Linked DNA regions of Drosophila melanogaster. The protein of the gene in region 1 interacts with the protein of each later gene in a pairwise test. Each region holds a gene or a part of one and is shown on either strand. Other genes may lie near its edges.

The links.
Region 2: the proteins of CG16758 (region 1) and CG12289 interact in a two-hybrid assay, tested with the Drosophila melanogaster proteins (one large-scale study listed by BioGRID).

What each region holds. Positions count from the first base shown.
Region 1 is NT_037436.4:2,498,788-2,505,467, forward strand, and holds CG16758 (uncharacterized protein), read right to left. Parts: upstream 4,820-6,680; 5' UTR 4,487-4,819; coding exon 4,356-4,486; intron 4,029-4,355; exon of another isoform or gene 3,937-4,028; coding exon 3,808-3,936; exon of another isoform or gene 3,711-3,807; coding exon of another isoform or gene 3,604-3,710; intron 2,355-3,603; coding exon 2,283-2,354; intron 1,676-2,282; coding exon 904-1,675; intron 837-903; coding exon 750-836; 3' UTR 585-749; downstream 1-584.
Region 2 is NT_037436.4:11,456,516-11,460,336, forward strand, and holds CG12289 (uncharacterized protein), read right to left. Parts: upstream 1,956-3,821; 5' UTR 1,778-1,955; coding exon 641-1,777; 3' UTR 561-640; downstream 1-560. Other genes in the region: CG7551 (uncharacterized protein), read left to right, coding at 2,045-3,013.

The DNA.
Region 1 (6,680 bases):
CCTATTTAGTATATCATATACACACGTGCGCATATCCCTATGTACTCTCTATTTTACACATATTACATAGCCTTTATATATGTAACGACTACTATGCAAGTGCACGATGCCAGGCAATAAATTTCAACTCGCTTCATTCGGTAGCTGTGCGGAGTTTGGAGTTCTTCTATTATATCGTATACCTGTACATAATATTAAGTTGAGTTGTTTTACCATTATTTTATTTAATATTTTATCGATTTAACGAAATTGCATTTGTTCAATCTCTGCAAACACCAAAAAGCCAACGAGCTCTCTCGTTATGTCATTGTTTTCAATTCGAAATCATTTTAATGTTAGCTTTATTTCCCTAATTTTATAACTATGTATTTGTGTTTATAATATGTTAAAAATTATTGCGCATATTTAATTTTTATTAAATAACATTTCATTATATTTTAACTTTCCGTTGGGTTTTTTTTTATTTGGGTGACCAGGGGAATGATCACCTTGAACTGTTCTGGAATTTCTGTTCGCCGCGCAAAAGTATGCAATCAAATCGTAGACTTTTTTAAAAGTTTACCCAACAACAAACAAAATGTGCTGAAATTGTGATATAGCTAGTTTATTTTACATAATTTAGTTAAACTATTCCCTAGGCCTATACTGTAAGATTTTGGACAATCCGTGTCATGTGAGTCTTAGATGCGAGCTCAGAGAATTAACTATTTTTAAATTTAGAATCCAACGCTACTTCTTCGCTTCGCTACTTAAGCGGATGCCAAGTGGATTTCCCGGATGAGTCGGGAGACCAGTTCGCAGCAGGCCTTTTGCCTGTTCTTGGCCACAGCCATAACCTAGATGGTGATAAACATGAAAGTTAGTGGCTTAATTTAATCAACTAGTAGGACTCTAGGAACTCACCTCATCGTGGTTGGCCTCATCGTCCTTCTTATCGCTGTACTCGGTGGCGCACTTATTTGTGATGAGGCTGAAGGCGAATACCTTCATGTCGCAGTGCCGTGCAGTGATGACCTCATGTACGGTGGACATGCCCACCGCATCCACGCCCATCATGCGCAGGGCCTTCAGCTCGGCGATGGTCTCGTAGTTGGGACCACCCAGACAGGAGTATACGCCGACGTGAATGTTGGACTCTATGCCCATGGCCTTGGCGATCTCGATGGCCTTGTTGATTAGGTCCTTGTTGTACGAGTTCACCAGGGCGGGAAAGCGGGGTCCGAAGCGTGGGTCATTGGGTCCCTGGAGCGGAGAATTTCCGGCAAAGCCCAGCATGTTGACATGGTCATGCATCAGCATGATGTCGCCCACCGCGAACCGTGGATTGATTCCACCAGCCGCATTGGTGGCGAACAGGTATTCCACACCGCACAGCTTCATCACGCGAACCGGCATTGAGCACTTGGCCAGCGGATAGCCCTCGTAGAAGTGGAACCTGCCCTGCATCGCCATCACAGTGGCGCCCTCGAGTGTGCCGACCACCAGTCGTCCGGCATGGCCCTCAACTGTAGATACCGGGAAGTTGGGGATCTTCTCATACTCGAAGATCTTCGGGTCCTGGATCATATCGGCCAATGAGCCTAGCCCAGAGCCGCAGATGATGCCGATCTTGGGGCGCATGCCGGACCCCTTGGTAATGAAGTCGGCGATCTCCTCGATGACCTCATAGGGATACCTGTCGAAAACCAAAATTAGTTTTACATCTTGTTTGGGTGAGTATTGCAGGGTGATCTTTGAACTAATAAAAGTGTAAACAATATACGAGTGAACTGCGATAAATTTGGGTGGGTACATGTTAACAGGCCAGAGATCCTTTTTATCTACTCGCCACGATGGTAAACAATGAAATGAAGAATGGAATTCCCAGAGGGAACAAAAAAGATACATTTACCAATTGATGAAGTTCCACACACAGGAATATAATTAGATTCAATTCACCAATCGAAGTTTTATCAAAACAAATAATTCATTTATGTACAATCAGTTCGATGATATGATAAGAAAACAACACAAATATTATACAGTGAGAACTCAGAAGACTAAAAACTTTAGAGATCATGGACACATGAATTCATTATCGAATTACATAGATATTCTTAAAAAGGACAAAAACAAAAATCGAATTTATGGATAAGAATATCTTTGAAGAACTGAAAGTGTCTTCTTGAAGATTCTTATCAGCCTTATGCCAATCACAGTACTGTGAATACATGTATTTTAATAATAAAGTAAATGACAATTGAACACAGAGAAACAGAACTCAGAAGAATTGGTCTACAAACGTGTCTTCGTTGAGAACCCGAAGGGCTCTTAGCTCTTCGTGCGTAAGCTCGCATTGGATTTTTCCATTTCCGCTGCAATTGTGGAAAAGATTTGTTGCTGAGTAGGTTGGCAAAGGTTTGTGATAAACGGATATGAAGGCATCCAGATAAGGACCCCCTATCATTTATGGTTTTTCTTGGCAATCAAAAGAATGTGGTAACATTGTCATGACTCGCTTGCTATTATCGAGTAACTTGAAAACAGCAATTAAGTGCTATTAGAGCCATAAAGAATTCACCTGGTTCTGGGTTAAATTGCTCGAACTTGAACTGCAAGTCGAGTTATGTTAAGATGTTGTTACCAAAACTGAACTCACGACCTCCCACGTGTTTGTTTTCGGATCAGTTCAAATGATTTGATAAGCCGGGCATGAGACGATGCTAAGCATTATCAGTATTACATGGAAAAAACAAAAGCTGGCCTTCGAACAGTAAACATAAAGTGCGTCATTAAGACGGGAACATATAATCACGCATAACTTGCACTAATTGGGAACTTTATTCACAATTCCTTAATAAATTGGTCTTTCAGTAGCCAGACATTTATGGAAATTTGATCTAAACACGCGACGCGGCTTTTTCGCCGCTTCATCAATATTCAGCATTGTGATTCCATCGGAATGGAAACTAGTTTCGAAATTAATCAATGCGGCAACATGTTTTAGTTGCGTTCTTTATCGAACCATTGGCCAATTACCCGTATCTGAGGCAAAGATTACGAAGTGGAGGCCTATGTCAAGATCAGGGAACACACCCGTTTTGCGCAGCCAATCAGCGGGAGCCGATTTCCCAGTTAACTTGGCCATTAAACACTTACATAAGCAGTTGGCAATCTTGGCTTTTTTATCAGCAAAATGTTTGGTACACAGAGAAAATATAAATAATTAAAACAAGGCACTCTGAAGAGCGCCCAGCTGCTTAAAACGTGCTCTAAAAATATTAACTCTAAAATAATGAGGAAATTAGTTAATTAAAAAAATATTTCCTGAACACTTGACTCTTTCGAATACATATACGTTTTCTACTGTGTATTTCTACCTAGGCGAAACCACTCCATATAATCATATGCAGATTAAAGATTCTTCGAATGGGATTTTAATGAGTAGCCAGCGTCGACTGACGAAAATTGATAAGCCTGGAATACTGGAATGTCTATATTCAAATTCAAGAGATCTAAGTTGAGCTCGTTTCTTGATAGCGGCGGAAAGATCAAGGACACGATCCAGCTCCGTCACTTGAATTTTGATTTAGATTGCCCGAAGTAAACAAAGTTTGGACTTACAGCAGACTTTCTGGAGTTGGTATGATATCTGGCCAATTTGTATTATTGATGGCGGTTTTGGTGCCAGCCTTGCCTTTGGGATTCGAACAGCAATTGGCGTTACACATTTTGGGGCCGAGGGATATAGTTTTTGGGTATCGAACGAACGAACGAACCAGACTGACAGCTAAGGATAGGCCTAATTGGACACCAAAATCAACTTACAGCAGGCTCTGTGGAGTGGGTATGATCTTCTCGCCAGTGAGACTGCCGGCCTTGGCGCCCTTCTTGTCCGAGCAAGTGTTGCCTCGATTGGAGCCACCTGGTCCGGAGCAACAGTCGCGGGAGCACATTCTGCGGGTTAGTTGGAGGTCTTAGCCCTTACAACTACGTACTAGGCAGCGAATTTTGGATGGAGTCTGTGCCTGAATTTGGTTTCCTGTAGGCCGAAGCGAGTTTCCTAAATGACTGATTCAGTCATAGAGTGAGGCTACTGGCAGGGCCTACTGGATAGCCAAGGCCATATCGATTTGGCCCCTTGAAAAGCGGGTCACAAAAGCTTTAGCATGGAAGGAAGGGAGAGGGGCGTGCAGAAGGACAGGTGGTGCAGTGCAGTGGGGTTAAGGCGAAGCCGCGAAGCATTGAAGCCAGAACTATTGGAAGTTTCAATTAAAGCTGATTGTAGTTAACGAGCCGCTGGCGTGAGGGCCTCCGATATAATACCCCCTTTTTATGTCGGCTCGAACTTCGAACCAACAACTCTCCCCACTTACGTGGGATTCTCCTGGGCGGTGTAGTCCGCCGACTTGTGTCCATTGCTGTGTCCATTGGTTCCATTTGTTCCCTTCGTGTTTCCATTTCCATTGCTGTGTCCATTGCCATTGGCCACCTTGTAACCCGTCATTGTGCAGCTGAAGTTGGAGATGCTCTTGCTCAATCGAAATACACTGCAATTATATAATCGCCTCGGACGCGCTTCTTCTGGTTATGCAAATGTGAATTTCGCGCTTCAAGTTATGATAAAATCAACTGTGCACGTTTTCTATTTCGCGAATCAAAACTAATTTAGAAATCTGGAACTGGAATTCCTTTTGTAATCTCGTTACGTTTCACAAATGATATTTTATGACCGCGTCCAGAACTCGATGATATGGTATGCACATATATGTGGTATGGTACTATGTGCACTTTCTTCACGTTTGTTGCCTGCTCGACCGCTGATTGTAAAGTGAACGCTGCCGTCTGGTGGACGAGGGTTTATAAACTGGAGCTCCGGCGCAGTCGACGTCGTACTGCTTCAGGAAAAGATTCTGTTTCTGACTTTGATTCGGCTTCGGATTTGGGTTCGGAATCGAAATCGGAATCTCGGGGATGCAGAGCGACGCTCTGTCGAGCCTCTGCCGGCGCTGGTTGTTCAGCATTCAATTTGAAATCGTTTAGCGCGAATATTGCCGGAATCGTTGCTCCTAACTAATTGAATTGAGCAAATTTAAATATTTAAAAGAAAGTGTGTGACGGAGAAGGAAAACAACTCTTTTAGTTACACATTCGATAAGAAACGTGAGAGAGGACCATAAATGATTTCGCAAAAGTGTTTACGATAAGATTTTTATGGACTTCTGATATGATATGGTATAGCTCTTTGAGAAACACCTGGGAAGCACAAGTGAATTAAGTCAACTTTATAGAGAAATATTGTCATTTGTCAATTGTTTTAAGAAACACAATATTCGCCAAGCAAAATAATCTGTGAATCTATTTTTAAATCATTTTCAAAAACATGCCACTTGCCGAGAATTTTCTATAATTCGTACACTAACCTCTGACTTGGCTTATCAGTTGGCTAGTCGGAAAGTTTTACCAGGTCATCAGACACCTTGGGATCAACACGATTTGGTCTGTTGTAATATGGAATCGCTTTTGAATCACCCAGCAACCCATTCATCACTGCGATAAGGGATTTGCCAAGCAGATCCCAGTCGCACCCGTAAGTACTTAACCTAATAATGAGATCTTTAGCAAAACAATAAGCCTGAAAAAAGTGTGAAAATAAAATCAACACTGATAAGGATGCAACATGAAAGAGCTTATCACTTCATGGGGGGGCACATATTTGTCGTGTGCGCTTAGTCGCAGTGACTTTGATGGCAATAGCATAGTATTATTCCTGTAAACAACTTTGATAGCATTACGCAAAAGTGCAATCAGCATCAGATGCACATGGAAATGCACAATATTATTTGAATACCCAGACAGTTAAAAAATTACAGCTTACAGTTTATCAAGGAAAATGCTATTACTCTTACTAGACACTTGCTGTTTTCGAGTAATAATCAATTTCGGAATCGAAAAAATAGTACATATATATGTTTCTAAGTTCTCTGTTCGTAAAAGTATTTTTCAATTTCACTTATCAACCGTAGGCAGAAATTTAATCAAAACAAGATTCCGTGAGAACTATATTTAAATGGAAACAAAGCCGAGGTTTGAATACTCTGAATAATCATATTTTATCCAACCAAAATCGAAACATTAGTTAGAGACCATAAAAACTGACCTCTGCGCAAGATGCAGGCAACCCAAGTCAGTGGAAAATTCCCAGATGATAAGAAAAAACCCCACGAATGTTTAAAAATGTTCCATTCATGTTTCCGTGGAAGATTCGAGACTCAGTCTCCGAATTTTGTATCTGTTGGTGGCCTCTTCCCATGAAGCATGTATGTACATATCTTCCTATGTTCGATTTTCGACTGACTTTCCCATTTTCCCAGCTTGTGCAGTACAACAAACCCATTAAGATGTTGTTTTTAAAACAGGATTACAGATAAGAGATTGTCAGGCGAGTAAACAAGAAATTCATTTCATATTTAGGTTTATTTCAGAGTATATTTATTAGCACTGATTTTGAGATTTATTATTTTCCATGATTTGAAAGATTTGGTTGCGATTTTTACTTTTCAATTTACTTGTTTAGCTAATTGCAGTGCTGTCATCAATAATAATTGGCTAGTCGCATTAATTGCTAAGTGTAGTGTTTCTTTTATAAACCTTCACAATACTTTTTGCGCTGACCAATTCCGTTTTTATAATTTGAGGGA
Region 2 (3,821 bases), 9.0 Mb from region 1:
TGTTGTCCCAAATGATAAATGACCGAGAAGACCCCCGTTCTCCGCCATTCACAACATTTGTCCAAACGCCCAACGTCTACATAAATGTATATCTATTAGCATTTATCTTGGTCTCGGACCCGGACAAGTTTCGCCTGACTCAAGAATTAATCATGTGGCAATTATGCTGTGGCAACAGTTCTTCCACAGCATCCATTTGCACACACACATACACTATGAGGCTCCTTTGGCCATTTCCTCTAAGGGCTATCTGCGACATCGTCGAATTGCCACCCAGTGGGAAACTCAACTAAATCATTGTGTCAGAAATTATGCCATGCCTTTACAGCCCGCTTATTTATGTATCTAAATAAAGTAGCATGGATTAAATCAGGTATGCCAACACTACGTCCTAAAATCGATCCATACTTTTTGGATAAACGATCAACTAAATGTTCTCATAGCGTTGAAAAATGAAATGAAATAAATGCTCAACTAAATGTTCTCATAGCGTTGAAAAATGAAATTTAGTGGAAAAAAGTGCAAGTGTAGAAACTAATTAATTTCAAAGCTAACTCTTTGTTAGGTGATACACTTAGATTTATAAACCATACATTAAATGTTTTAAATTTGCAGAATATTTCAGATGGTCAGTGCTTTTCTAGCTAGAAAGTTGCGAAGTCTCGATCGGAACTTCCTTCTCAGTGGGTGCAATGGAGGACTTTTCCGGCAGGAACTCAATCGGGCGTAACAGGTGCTTCTTGCAGCTATTCAACTGATCGCCGTTATCCTCATCGTCGGAGGACACCTCACTGCCACACCTCATTCTAACGGGCAGCTTAACCGCATCGATTGGCAAATGACCCAGGCAATCGAAACCCACATAGCCCAACTTATAGCTGGCCACAGCATTGGCGAAGTCCACGGCTTCGGCCAATCGCCTTTGCCGCACAAAAGCGGCATAAATGAAGCCCGCCGTGAAGCAATCACTATCGCCCACCCGATCGATGATCTTTTTCGGCTTGTGTGCTGGCACTTCGAAGTACTCCCCTTCCGTGGTCATACATCCTGCTCCCAGGCTGCTCCACGGCACAATGATGCAGGGTCTGCGAATTCTAATGTTCCTTGGCATGCGCAGTAGCGCATTGACACCCTCGCAGGCTTCCAGCGGTGACTTCCAGCCTCTGGACTCGGCTATATACTTGGTGACGAACACATAGTCGCACATGGCAATCAGATGCACGACCTGTTCGAAGGAATTGAAAATCTGCAACGATACCACTATCCGATCCCGTTCATCCCGCCCGTTGTTGTGATCGAGGATTAGGCGTATCATATCGCAAGTTTCACGTGGACTCCGTGCCTCAAAATTCACCCAGCCGTATTGATCGAGATCCAATTTGCGGAAATCCGCTGCCGTAACATATGGAAATGACTTGTCGCAATACACCACCGTGCAACGACGCGTCCAGCGATCTTGGACAATTGTGGAAAAGGGAGGACTTGCGTCCGTGAATGTACAATGGCTAATATCAATGCCCCGCTGCTCGAGATCATCCAGAATCATGCGATAGGTGGGATTACGGGTGAGCACACCGAACAACTCCACATTGGCGCCCAACAGACGCAGGGCCGTACTAACATTCGAGGATCTTCCGCTGCGCTGAAGCATTCCATTCTGGGTGCTGCACCTGTCGCACTGGAAGTCGACCTTATCCATGGTGGTCACGTAGTCCACCTCCGTGCAGCCGACGCAGAGCACGGCCTTCATTACACTGATAGCACACCATTGCGTCATCCTGGCGATTGTCTAAAGCTCTGATTTCGTATCCAGATCCTCCTCTACTTCTTTCTTCGATTCTCTGCCCTTAATTTAAATCGATCATAATTTGTTTTTTTGATTTTGAATAACTCTTGACAAATGATTGAATCGTTAGGTATGGACTTGTAGATCTCTATTATGGAGTGGAAAGCATTTTTAATCCAAATTTCTATATCATATCAGCCACGTACTTTTTGGAAAACTGATTTTAAAAAATTTTAAATTTTAAAAGCAATATTCAATATGACTCAATATGGCCACAAACTGAGCTGGGCTGTTGGCAAAAAGACGGTGTTGTGCATCGGCACAACGACCATTGACTTTGTCTCGACCATAAAACGTTTTCCCGAGGAGAACTCACATCAGAAGGTCATTGGAGGATACTGGATTCGCGGTGGCAAGGCCTCGAACAACTGTACTGTTTTGGCCAATCTGGGCGTCAAAGTGGAGTTCCTAGGAATGCTGAGCAGTTGGAGTGTGTTTCAAGTTCTGGTCGATGACTTGAAGAGTCGTGGCATCATTATCGACAACTGTCCAACCTGTGACCAGGGTGCACCCTTCTCATCCGTGATACTCACCAAGGCGACTAAGACGCGGAACATTGTCTATTGCAATAATAACTTCCCGTACGTTAGCATTGATGATTTCCGAAAGCTGAACCTTAACCAATATGGATGGATTCACATTCGGGCACTATACTTTGATAAGTCATTGCCGATGGTCAAGGACATAGAGGCATATAATGCGAACAGAAAGGAGAAGATCGTACTATCGATGGAGTTCGATAACAACCTGGATGACATGTGGCCTCTGATGGATTACTGTGACTATGCCGTATTCTCTAAGAAGTTGGCCCAACCGAATGGTTGGGTTTCTCTGGAGGATGCCTGCATGCAGCTGGACGAGCGATTGCGAATGCGTTGGGGCCTTAATCTCAAGCGACCATATGTGGTCGTCCTTTGGGGCGATCAGGGTGCCGGCATCTTGGATCTCAATGGTAACTTCACCCACGTCAAGCCGCACAAGCCCAAACGCATCGTGGACGCCTTGGGAGCAGGAGACACCTTCGTGGGCGCTTTCATCTACGCCCTCTATATCCGGGAAAGATCCGTTTCAGTTGCCGTGGACTTTGGCAATCGCATGGCCAGCTACAAGTGCACGAAAAATGGGTACGATCATATCGCTAACATTTTACTGCCTCCGATCTTATAATTGGGTCGAAATTGAATTTCTCATTTCGAAAATTTTTCAGAAAACAGATCAAAAGAATGAGGCTGTAGTTAAAATAAAAATCTCCTCTTGGACTTCGACTTCATCTTATTTAATACTTTAATCACAGCCACCATTCAATGGAATGGAATTACTGGAAAAAAATGGCACAAAGAAACTATCGCATGCTTTTCACCCTTTTTAAACCGAGCATTTATTACGTATCCGCACCGTTGGTAGATAATACAATAATTACCCTTGCAGACGCTCGGCCAAAAGTGTATCGACCATAAATTATGGGATAAACACACTTTCGTGCTACCGCCTTTTAACCGGAATTTCCAAATTGATTGCAAAACGAACCTGCAATGTCATTTATTTTTTCCTCGCCGAAAAGGGTTCAAAAGTTTTTCATTCACATATACGTATACCTTTTGTTGTTTACCCTTGGTCACTTGAATTATGGCCAGATTATTTAAATAAATAGGAGTCGTTCGTTCACGAAATGGAACAGCAGGTGACCAAACTGTCTCTGTTTCGAGCCGATAAATAAATAAATAGAAATAATGGATTGCGTACAGATTATGCAAATGTCGGCCAAGGCAAATTCTTAATTAGAGATTTACCGAGTCCAATTCAAATCAAAATCAATAAGCCCCTTGATTTTTGAACTTTGCTGCCGCGCAAAAAATGGCTGTTCCAAAAAAAAAAAAAAAATTCATAAATATTGAAATGAAAATCCTCGCACCACAGCAAGGGAAAAAGTCAAATCGAATTATGTATAAATTTCTATGTACAATCCCGTGATTTA